Canis lupus familiaris: one gene and its partner. The protein of the gene in region 1 purifies or fractionates together with the protein of each later gene. This does not show direct contact. Links are inferred from orthologs where the notes say so. Each region holds a gene or a part of one and is shown on either strand. Other genes may lie near its edges.

Region 1 (4,339 bases):
CATGGCAGCGGTAACAATGAGGCAGAGAATTTAAGTTGCTCTAAATGGACCCCCACAACTCTAGGGCAGATCTAAATCCAAAGGGAGGACCTGCGCTCAGACCCACTCTGCCTGCCAACCCAGCTCATTCTCCAAGAGCGTCCTGGTGTCTTAGCAAACAGGGACTCAGGAGGCAACTGCTTTTTCCCTGCTCTTTTGCTGGTGACTCTCAGACACCCCTCCATCAGGTATAGGGGTACACTGACCCACCAGACCAGGCTAGAGGAGCTGCACAGGAAAGGGCGTCACCATCCATGTGCTGGGAAAACCATACAGAGCAGAGAGCAATGGCCTGCAGACGGTGTCCACAGTCTGTCCATCCATCCCTGGTCACCACACTGCAACCCGGACTCTCCTGCCCCCGCCCCGGCAGCTAATCCATCTCCAAGTCACCACAGCTCCTTCCTCCAAGAGATCTGCTTTGGATCTGTTCCCTTCTCCTCCTTGATGCACCTACCTGTGCAGACAGCCACTGGGGCAGGGTGCACCTTCCCTCCTCCCACTCAGTCCTGGGGTAACCACCGGTAGCCAGACTGGGGCAGGGACTCCGTGGGAGACACCTCGGGGAACACACCCCGAAAGCTCTGGCCCTCTCGGCGCGGCTTTTACTCTTCCCAGCCTCCTGCCTGGCCCGGGCCGTACTTCAACAGAGGAGTCCGCCTCCCTGCCTGCACTGTCCCCCGCGAGGTGTGGGGTGGGGGTGGGGGTGGGGGGGTGCTGCACAGGCTCCCGCTCGGCACCCGAACCTCACCTGCCCGGCCCTGGCCTGCGAGTCGCCCCCTGGCCTCCCCTCAACGAGCCCCCTTCGTGCCCCTGCACCTGCTGCTCCCTCACCGGGCGCCTCCTTCCCCTCGGGTCTTGGTCTGGCGCAGTGCCCCCTCCTCCTCCGGGGTGCTTGCCCTTTCGCAACTTCTCTTCTATCCGGTCTTTCGCTCCCCACTGCGATGGCAGCACTGCCCCTGTCCACGCTCAGGGCCAACGACCGCGTGGGCACTCCGCACCTCTCCTGCCCAGCTCTCTGGGCAGCTGGCGCCCCGCGAGACCCCACAGTCCGCAGCCAGAGGCCACACAGCCCTCAGCACCCCCGCACTGCCCCCGTCGGGCCGCGCACTGTCCCGCACTGCCCCGCCCCGCCCCCGCCCTGCCCCGCACCGTCCCCTCCGGTCCCCGCACTGCCCCCGCCGGCCCCCGCCAGCCACCGCACTGTCCCCGCCGCCCACCTCACCGCCCCCGCCGCCCCGCGCGCTGGAGCGGGAACCCGGGCTGCTAGTCCAGTGCGCACGCGCAACGGGGGGGCGGGGCCGCCGCTGCGTTAACCCCCTCGGCGCCGGCCCGGAGCCGCCCGCCCTGCGCGGCCCTCCCGCCCCCAGCAGTCGGCCGGCCCCCTGCGGCACGCAGCCGGCCCAGGGTCGCCCCAGATCCCCGCCTCGCGGGGGAGACAGAAGACGAGGCCCCGACGCGGCCCGTCGGGAACGGCCGGGGCCCTTTAACACTCCCTTCGCTCCCTCCATTGGCTGAGGCGGTCACGTCATCGCCGCGCGCCGGAGAGCAGCGCCTTCCCGCTCCCTAATCCTGACGCCAGAGCGGCGCCGGCCTTCGAGGCTGAGGAGAGCGGGCGGAGGTGGCGGCGGCGGGAAGATGTAAGTTGGGGGAATCCGACCCCATCCGAGCTCCGGGGGCCGCCCGCAAGGCTCGGCGGGGCGCGTGGTGGAGCCGGCCCGCCCCTCGGCCTCTTGGTAGGGACGGCGGCCCGGCGGCGCGACAGCGGGCGCGAGAAGAAAGAGTGTGGCCCGGGGCTGGCGGAGTGGGAGGCGCCGAGGCCGCGGCCCGGAAGTGGTCGGGGCCGCGGCGGGCGGAAGGGCGCTCACGTCGGCCCCCTCCCCCTGCGGCGGCCCCGGCAAGGCCCGCGGGATTCGGAGCCGCCCTCGGGCCGGCCCTGGGCTGGGAGTTGCGGGCGCCGGCGGACGGGGGCGGCGTGGGTGGAGTTGCCCCGTGGGGGGCCCGGGAGGCGCGGGGACCGCGCCGCTGCCGCGCGGGCGGGCGGGCCGCCCCACGAGGGGGGCGCGGGAAGGAAGGGAGGCCGCGGCCCTTCTTGGCTGTCGCATGACTTGTGCCAAAAACGTGCTTTTTAAGTGGGGAAGGTGCCCCGAGGACGGGGCCGAACGCCATCTGCTCGAGGTGTGACTAACTGTTCTCTCTCTCTCTGGCTGTTGGACGCGCACCTGTCCGGAGGATGGGGGAGGTAACCCAGGTCCTGTGCCGCGACCCGAACTTGTGTGGACAGAGCGCCGCGGGCTCTGCTCCCCAGGCCCGGCCGCGCCCGCAGCGCTTAGAGTCCGGGGCTTCGGGTGGTGCTGGTGGTCGGAGGGCCCTGGGGTGGGGCCCGGGGGTGCGCCCTGCCGTGGGTGCTGCCCCGGCAGGCGGGCGGCCCGGCCTGGGCCTGAGCCTGAGCCTGGGCCCGGGCCTGGGCCGGGTGGAGGTGTTGGAGAGGTCTGGCGCCCGCGGGGGAGTAAGTGTATCACGGGTGGGTCTTCACTGCCTGTACGTTGGAGAGATGGTATTGGGGGCGTGGGGTGTCAATACTTGGCTGGATCCCTCGTTAACCTCCTTGTGTAACGGGGCTGCTGGAGTGCTTGAGGACGTGCCGGCAGCTCACGCTCTTCTCCTGGGACAGGGCCGCCCTGGGTGATCCTCTTAACGGGCCGTCCAGCATTCAGGAGATCGTGTGGGCCTTTGGGAAACAAGAGTTTATGTAGGGGAAAGCCTGCACACGGGGAGGAGCACCCCTGTCTTGTAACATGAGCGGGCATTTAATTGAGCCCTAACTAGATGCCAAGTTTCCTTCCATGTGAGTAAACTGGGTTGGTGATCTTGGTAACTACGGAGGTGTAGGAGCTGTATCCCCCAAAACGCTGATGAGAGGTGGAGACTCAGAACAGCTGTGGGACTTAGCCCCGGTCCCAAAGCAGAGCTTGGAATCAGACAGGCAGGCTGACTCCAGATTCCTGCCCACTGGACCGTACTTCCTGGTTGTCCAAGGCCACTGACTCCATCCAGTGCTGCTTGCTTACTACCTTACTGTTCCAAGGCAAAACGTCTTAAAAGATTGTACCAGCCTGGAGAGGAGCCTCAAAGGTGACACCCTGCTTGCTTCTGCTCTAATTTGATTGTCCAAAGCTGGCCTCCTTTCTTGAGTCACGACATTCATTTAGCATTTTGCACACCCCTTCACATGTGAGAACAGGATCCCGGGTGGTTGCCATGTCGATGTTACTGACAGGCTGTTGAAGATGAGACAGGAGGAGTTGACACCACCATTCTGCAATCTTCGCTTGCAGCTCAAGCAAATTGTAGAAAAACCTCCCTGGAAAAAATGAAGGTCGCGAGTCCCCCAGGAGACCAGGCACATGATGGTTTGGTGGTTACACTGACCACTCACAACTCATGCTGTGGTGCGGGCACTTGGTGAGACCCTTAGGAGCAGTGCCCTCCAGTTCCAGTGAATACCCGCATAACCACCACGTAGAACCTACAAGTTACATTTCTGCCATATTTGCTTTGTCATAGAACAGATCGCCCATCCACGTTTTTTGTTGCATTTTGAAGTAAATAGCAGGCTTTGGTGTACTTTCCCCATGACGCTTCCATGTGCATATCATTAATTAAAGTTCAGCATTTGCAATGATTGCTTTCTAACTTAACTATTTTACTACTTTTTCAGTGTTCTTATGGGACATTTTATCTGTTTGCATTTGGGTGTTAATGTTTAGATGCTGGTACTTGTCACTTTTGAAATGGTTTTTGATTCTAGTCATGGTATGTTCGATGTATCCTACAAAGAAATTGCAGCAGTAAAACCTGAGATCTAATCACACCAGTGATCCTATCAGGAGAGCCACACTTGACTCTTCTGTTCTGCATGCAAATGTGGTGTTGTAACATTTCTAAGGGAATGGTAAAGGGCTTATCAAACTTAGGAGTGAAAAACAGGTATTGTACCACCTGTAAAAGAACAGTGACAGGCACTACCACCCTTTCCTTAAGGAAAAAACAACAAGGTGAGGTGAAGGTCTACCTGTGGGGGCAAGACCCTCCCTGAGGAAATGGAGGAGATCCCATATGTTCCTGGCTTTGTGGACGCTCGCTGCTTACTGTGTTCCTTGCCATCTTGTGTGCTCACCTTTTGACTGCAAAGTAGATTTGTTGCCTTGCCAACTCGTTCACTCTGTAAATCCTTTTATCTTGTTATTAGGCTGCACTTTGGCGTAAATTGCAATCGATTAGGGATCGTTTCTCAGAC
Region 2 (4,240 bases), on another chromosome or scaffold:
CACACAACTTACGAAACTGTTTCCAAGCACTTCATACTCATAAAGGTGGCCTGTCCCTTGCAGAGGAGTGGCCGTGATTGGGTAGGGCTGAGTGGACTCAGGTCCGAGATCTCATGGTAATAATGATCTGAGAGCTGTGTGTCTGGCAAGGTCTGGGAGCTGGGGGACAGTGTGGGGTCTTTTTCATGACCCCCTCCCCAAAGACGTACTTTGGGGAATGTCAGGAGGCTTGGGAGGCCCAGAATCTCTGAAAGCGGGTAGGATGTCTGCGCAACTCCAAGCCTCCCTCAGAGAAGCCTTCCACCTCTGCCTGAGCTGGCAGTCTGTCCATGCCCCACGTAGGTCCCTGCAACCTCTGGGCATCGTCCTGTTCCATGAGTGGCTGCCGTGAGTGGGTCAGGGTCTGCTTGTCTGAGTCCCCTGGCTTGGCCATGGGAGGGTTATCTCCAGGTGCCAGGATGTGTTCCCTGTGGATCTCCCCTCCTCCAGGAAGCCCTCTCCAGGCCCAGCTCTTCAGAAGGTCTTGGAGGCTGGTGAAATTGCTTCCTTATAAGGATTCCAGCGTCCAGGGTTCCGGTTTCCCCCAGGGGGTCCTGCAGGCCCAGAGCCTGGGTGGGGCGCCTCGTCTGTGGCAGGGGCCCCACCCCTTCCTCCTCCCGGCCAGGGTCTAGCCAGCCCTGACTTTTCCCTGGGAACTGAGGAAGTGAGCCAGGGAGGGACAGACCTCTTTTGTGGGTGGGGGCCTGCACCAGGTTCTGGGGCCCAGACAACCCCCCTCTCCCCCTAAGGAGAAAGCTTCCTTTTCGAAGCCATTTGGCTTCACAAAGGGAGCTCAACAGGGCCACCTGCTGTCCACACAGACTGGGGGGTGGAAGGGTGGGGGAGTGTGGGGTGGGTGGTCCAGGCTCCAGGCCTCTGTTGACCACAGGGACGGTCCTCCGTGTTCACGTCTGGGGCAAGAGGAGGTGGTGGGTGGTGGCAGATGGCACAGGGCTCTGGCCGGGCCTGGAGGGCTTTAGGTCTAGACCGGCCCGCGGTCCGAGGGTGCGGTGCGGGGAGGGGGTGGGGGTGGGCAGTCCTTCGTGTTCAGGCCTCAGGAAGGGGCTGGTGGCCCTGGGCAGCGGTGACGTGCACGTAAGGCCCTCGGGGCTCCGGACGCAGACCAGTAAGCTGCCCCAGAGCCTGGGTTGGACAGGGTCGTGGGGGGCGGATGGGGAGCCTCGGACACGAACCCCGTGCTCCCGCCTGCAGGGGGCGCCCCCGCACCTGCCTCGACGCGCTCGTCCCCGCTCCGCCCGCAGCCGCGCGCGCGTGCGCGCGCGTGCACGCGGCGATCCGCGGGCGAGCGTGCGCGCGCACGCGAGACGAGCGTGCGTGCGTGCGCGCGCGCGGCGGCCCTGAAAGCGGCTCTCGGAGCCTTAGGCGGCTCCGGCTGAGGCGGCTCCTGAGGCGGCGGCGACCCGCTCCCGGCTCCCCGCTCTCGGCTCCTCCTCCCGGCCCGCCAGCCCAGGCCGCTCCCCGGGCCCGAAGATGCCGGCCGTGTCCAAGGGGGACGGGATGCGGGGCCTGGCGGTCTTCATCTCCGACATCCGCAACTGTGAGTGGCGGCGGCGCGGGACCCGGCCTGCGAGGGGCGCGGGGGCGAGGGGCGAGGGGCGCGGGGGCGCGGGGGCCGGTGCAGACCCCGAGGGCGCGGGGCAGGGGGCGCGGGGCGGGGTCCCGGAGCCGACGGGGGGCGCGGGGGCAGGGGGCGCGGGGGCCGGTGCAGACCCCGAGGGCGCGGGGGCCGGGGGCGCGGGGGCCGGTGCAGACCCCGAGGGCGCGGGGCAGGGGGCGCGGGGCGGGGTCCCGGAGCCGACCGGGGGCGCGGGGGCAGGGGGCGCGGGGGCGCGGGGGCCGGTGCAGACCCTGGGGGCAGGGGGCGCGGGGGCGCGGGGGCGCGGGGACGCGGGGCGGGGTCCGGGTGCCGACCCGGAGGGCAGGCGTCGGTGGGGGGGCGGGACGGGGTCCAGTGTGGACATGGAGGGCGGGGGGTCCGGGGGCGTAGGGTCGGGGTGCAGGGCGGGGGTCTGGGGGTCTGGGTGCGGGCCCAGAGGGCAGAGGTCGGGGGCGCGGGCCTGGGGTGCGAGGGACCTACAGGGCCGCCGAGGAGGGCGCAGGCCTGTGGGAGGCAGAGTCGGGGGCTGGGCCTGGGGCCTGCGGGTCAGGGAACAGTGAGCAGGGGTGCGGGGTGCAGGGCAGGTGGGGTTCTCCAGTCGTGGGGGGGCTGTGGCGTCTTCGACAGGGTTCTGGTGAAGACCCCCCCCCCCCCCCAGCATGATGTCATCTGGAGCAGTCTGCTCATCTTTCTAGTAATGGAGCATTTAACCCAGCGTGTTCCAAAATAGCGTGGATTTTCAGTTTGGGAGTGGGGGCAGCGAAAGCTGCCTTGCCTGGGAGGCAGCTCCGCCCGGGTCCTGGTGGCTTATTAGGCCCTGATGAAATGACTCACTCCCCCCAGGAGTGCAGACACAGGGCAGTGGAGGGTGGGGTGGCTTTCGGGTGGCTGCCCTGGCTGCTGGCCCCTTCTTCGGGACACTCGCGTCCCCTCACAGTGGAAGAAATCCACACCAGAAGCGAAACAAGCCAGGAGGCAGGTGGGGGCTTCCGTCTGTAGAGAAGCTACAGCCTTCGGAGATCTCTCCTTTATTTAATTAAAGAAATTAAAGGCAAAACCAGTTTTCCTATCTGTTGCATCTTATTATTATTTTTTTATTACCTGCCAGATAGTTGATTTTTATTGCCTTAGGGTTAATGTATGTTTTGAAGAGAGTCTGTAACCTCACTTGCTGGTAGATGCTGTTGTGTTGAGCCTTGCCTTGAAGCCCTCACCTCCTTAGACGGGGGCACCCAGATGCCAGCCTGCTTCTCCCCCAGAGAAGCTCTGATCTTCTGTCCCTCCCCTTCCTGTGCGAGAAATCGAGAAATCGGAGTGGTAGCACACTCAGATCGGAGTATTTACAAGTAGGCAATATTTTTCTTTTCCTTCCTGTGCTATTTAATGTGATTTCAGCTTTTGTAAAGCTGAGTGTGTGTGCGCTATCACTGCAGGGGGACCCTTGGCTAAAGGCTTAGCAGCCTTAAATTAGGAGTGATGTCAGTTCTTCCATTTTGGAAGAAGAATGCAGTGGGCAAGAAAGACATTGAGATTGAAACCCATTTTCTTGACAGCCGGTCACCTGCATATTAGACATGTATTCTGTGCTAGGTCTGCAGTTGAGTGGAAGGTAACTGCCTGCCATATGGGAGGACTCGGCAGATACTTGTTGACTGACCTTAGAGCAGACTTTCTCCACCCCCCACACTGCTGAGATTGGGTTATTTCTTGTGCAGAGCTGTCCAGTGGTGTTGGACAGCAGCATCCCTGGTCTCCATACAACGAGGTGCCTCCATTGTGACAACCAGCGGTGTGTTCAGACGTTGCCCTACGGGGCAGAGTTTTCTCTGGTTGAGGGCCTACTGATATAGACCAATGAATAGGATAGTCTCTTCCCCAAAGGAGCTTAAGGAGGAAGGGCTGCCTCATTTTTCTTGGGGCCAGGTCTCTGTTTACTACAGTCCCTTCCTCAGGACCACCTTTCCCACCTCATGCTGCCCTTGGTCTTTGTTTTGTCATAGTGCCGCACTTCTAGAGCGGTGTCATGGGTCTGTGGTGCTGTGCCCTCCCCTTCACTATGAACCCCACAAGGTAGGCACCACATCTGTCTTGCTTGTCATGTCTTTCCGCTGCTTGCACAGCATCTGGCATGAGACACGAGCCTAGTAAATGAATAGATGAGTGAGCCAGAAAGGATTTAGCTTCAAGATGATTCTCATGCCCATTTTGTCTAAAGAGCACTGCAGGTCGAGGGCCAAGATGTGATGGAGCAGCAGGGAATGAACGTTCTGAGCATGTGTAGGCTGGCTGTGGCTGGGGATAGGGTCAGAAAGCTAACCCTGGCCGGATGGATGACCAGAGCCATCTGAGCTTAACCCCCTGGGGCAGGGAGCTGGCTCCAGCTTCCCCTTTTCCCACCTCAGATTTTGTGTGCTCATTGGTTTCTTGTGAATGTGATGGATGTGGCCAGGCTCTGTGGAGAGACCCAGCTGCCTCTCACCTGCTCCATGACCTGAAGCCAGTGGCTGCTGAGCCTTAGGTTTCTTCAGCTGATGGAGAGGAGTGGATTTTGAGCTAGAGTATCACTAGAGTCTGTTTCAGCTC

Evidence for each region. The genes of interacting proteins can lie anywhere in the genome.
Region 2: the proteins of RNPS1 (region 1) and AP2A2 purify together in Homo sapiens (co-immunoprecipitation; 3 studies listed by BioGRID and IntAct, with this or other methods). This does not show direct contact. The link is inferred for Canis lupus familiaris from reciprocal best matches to the Homo sapiens genes RNPS1 and AP2A2.

What each region holds. Positions count from the first base shown.
Region 1 is NC_049227.1:39,163,065-39,167,403, forward strand, and holds the start of RNPS1 (RNA-binding protein with serine-rich domain 1), read left to right. Parts: upstream 1-1,539; 5' UTR 1,540-1,677; coding exon of another isoform or gene 1,678-1,679; intron 1,680-2,198; exon of another isoform or gene 2,199-2,217; intron 2,218-4,291; 5' UTR 4,292-4,339. UniProt on the Homo sapiens protein: Part of pre- and post-splicing multiprotein mRNP complexes. Auxiliary component of the splicing-dependent multiprotein exon junction complex (EJC) deposited at splice junction on mRNAs.
Region 2 is NC_049239.1:45,693,612-45,697,851, forward strand, and holds the start of AP2A2 (AP-2 complex subunit alpha-2), read left to right. Parts: upstream 1-1,388; 5' UTR 1,389-1,530; coding exon 1,531-1,597; intron 1,598-4,240. UniProt on the Homo sapiens protein: Component of the adaptor protein complex 2 (AP-2). Adaptor protein complexes function in protein transport via transport vesicles in different membrane traffic pathways.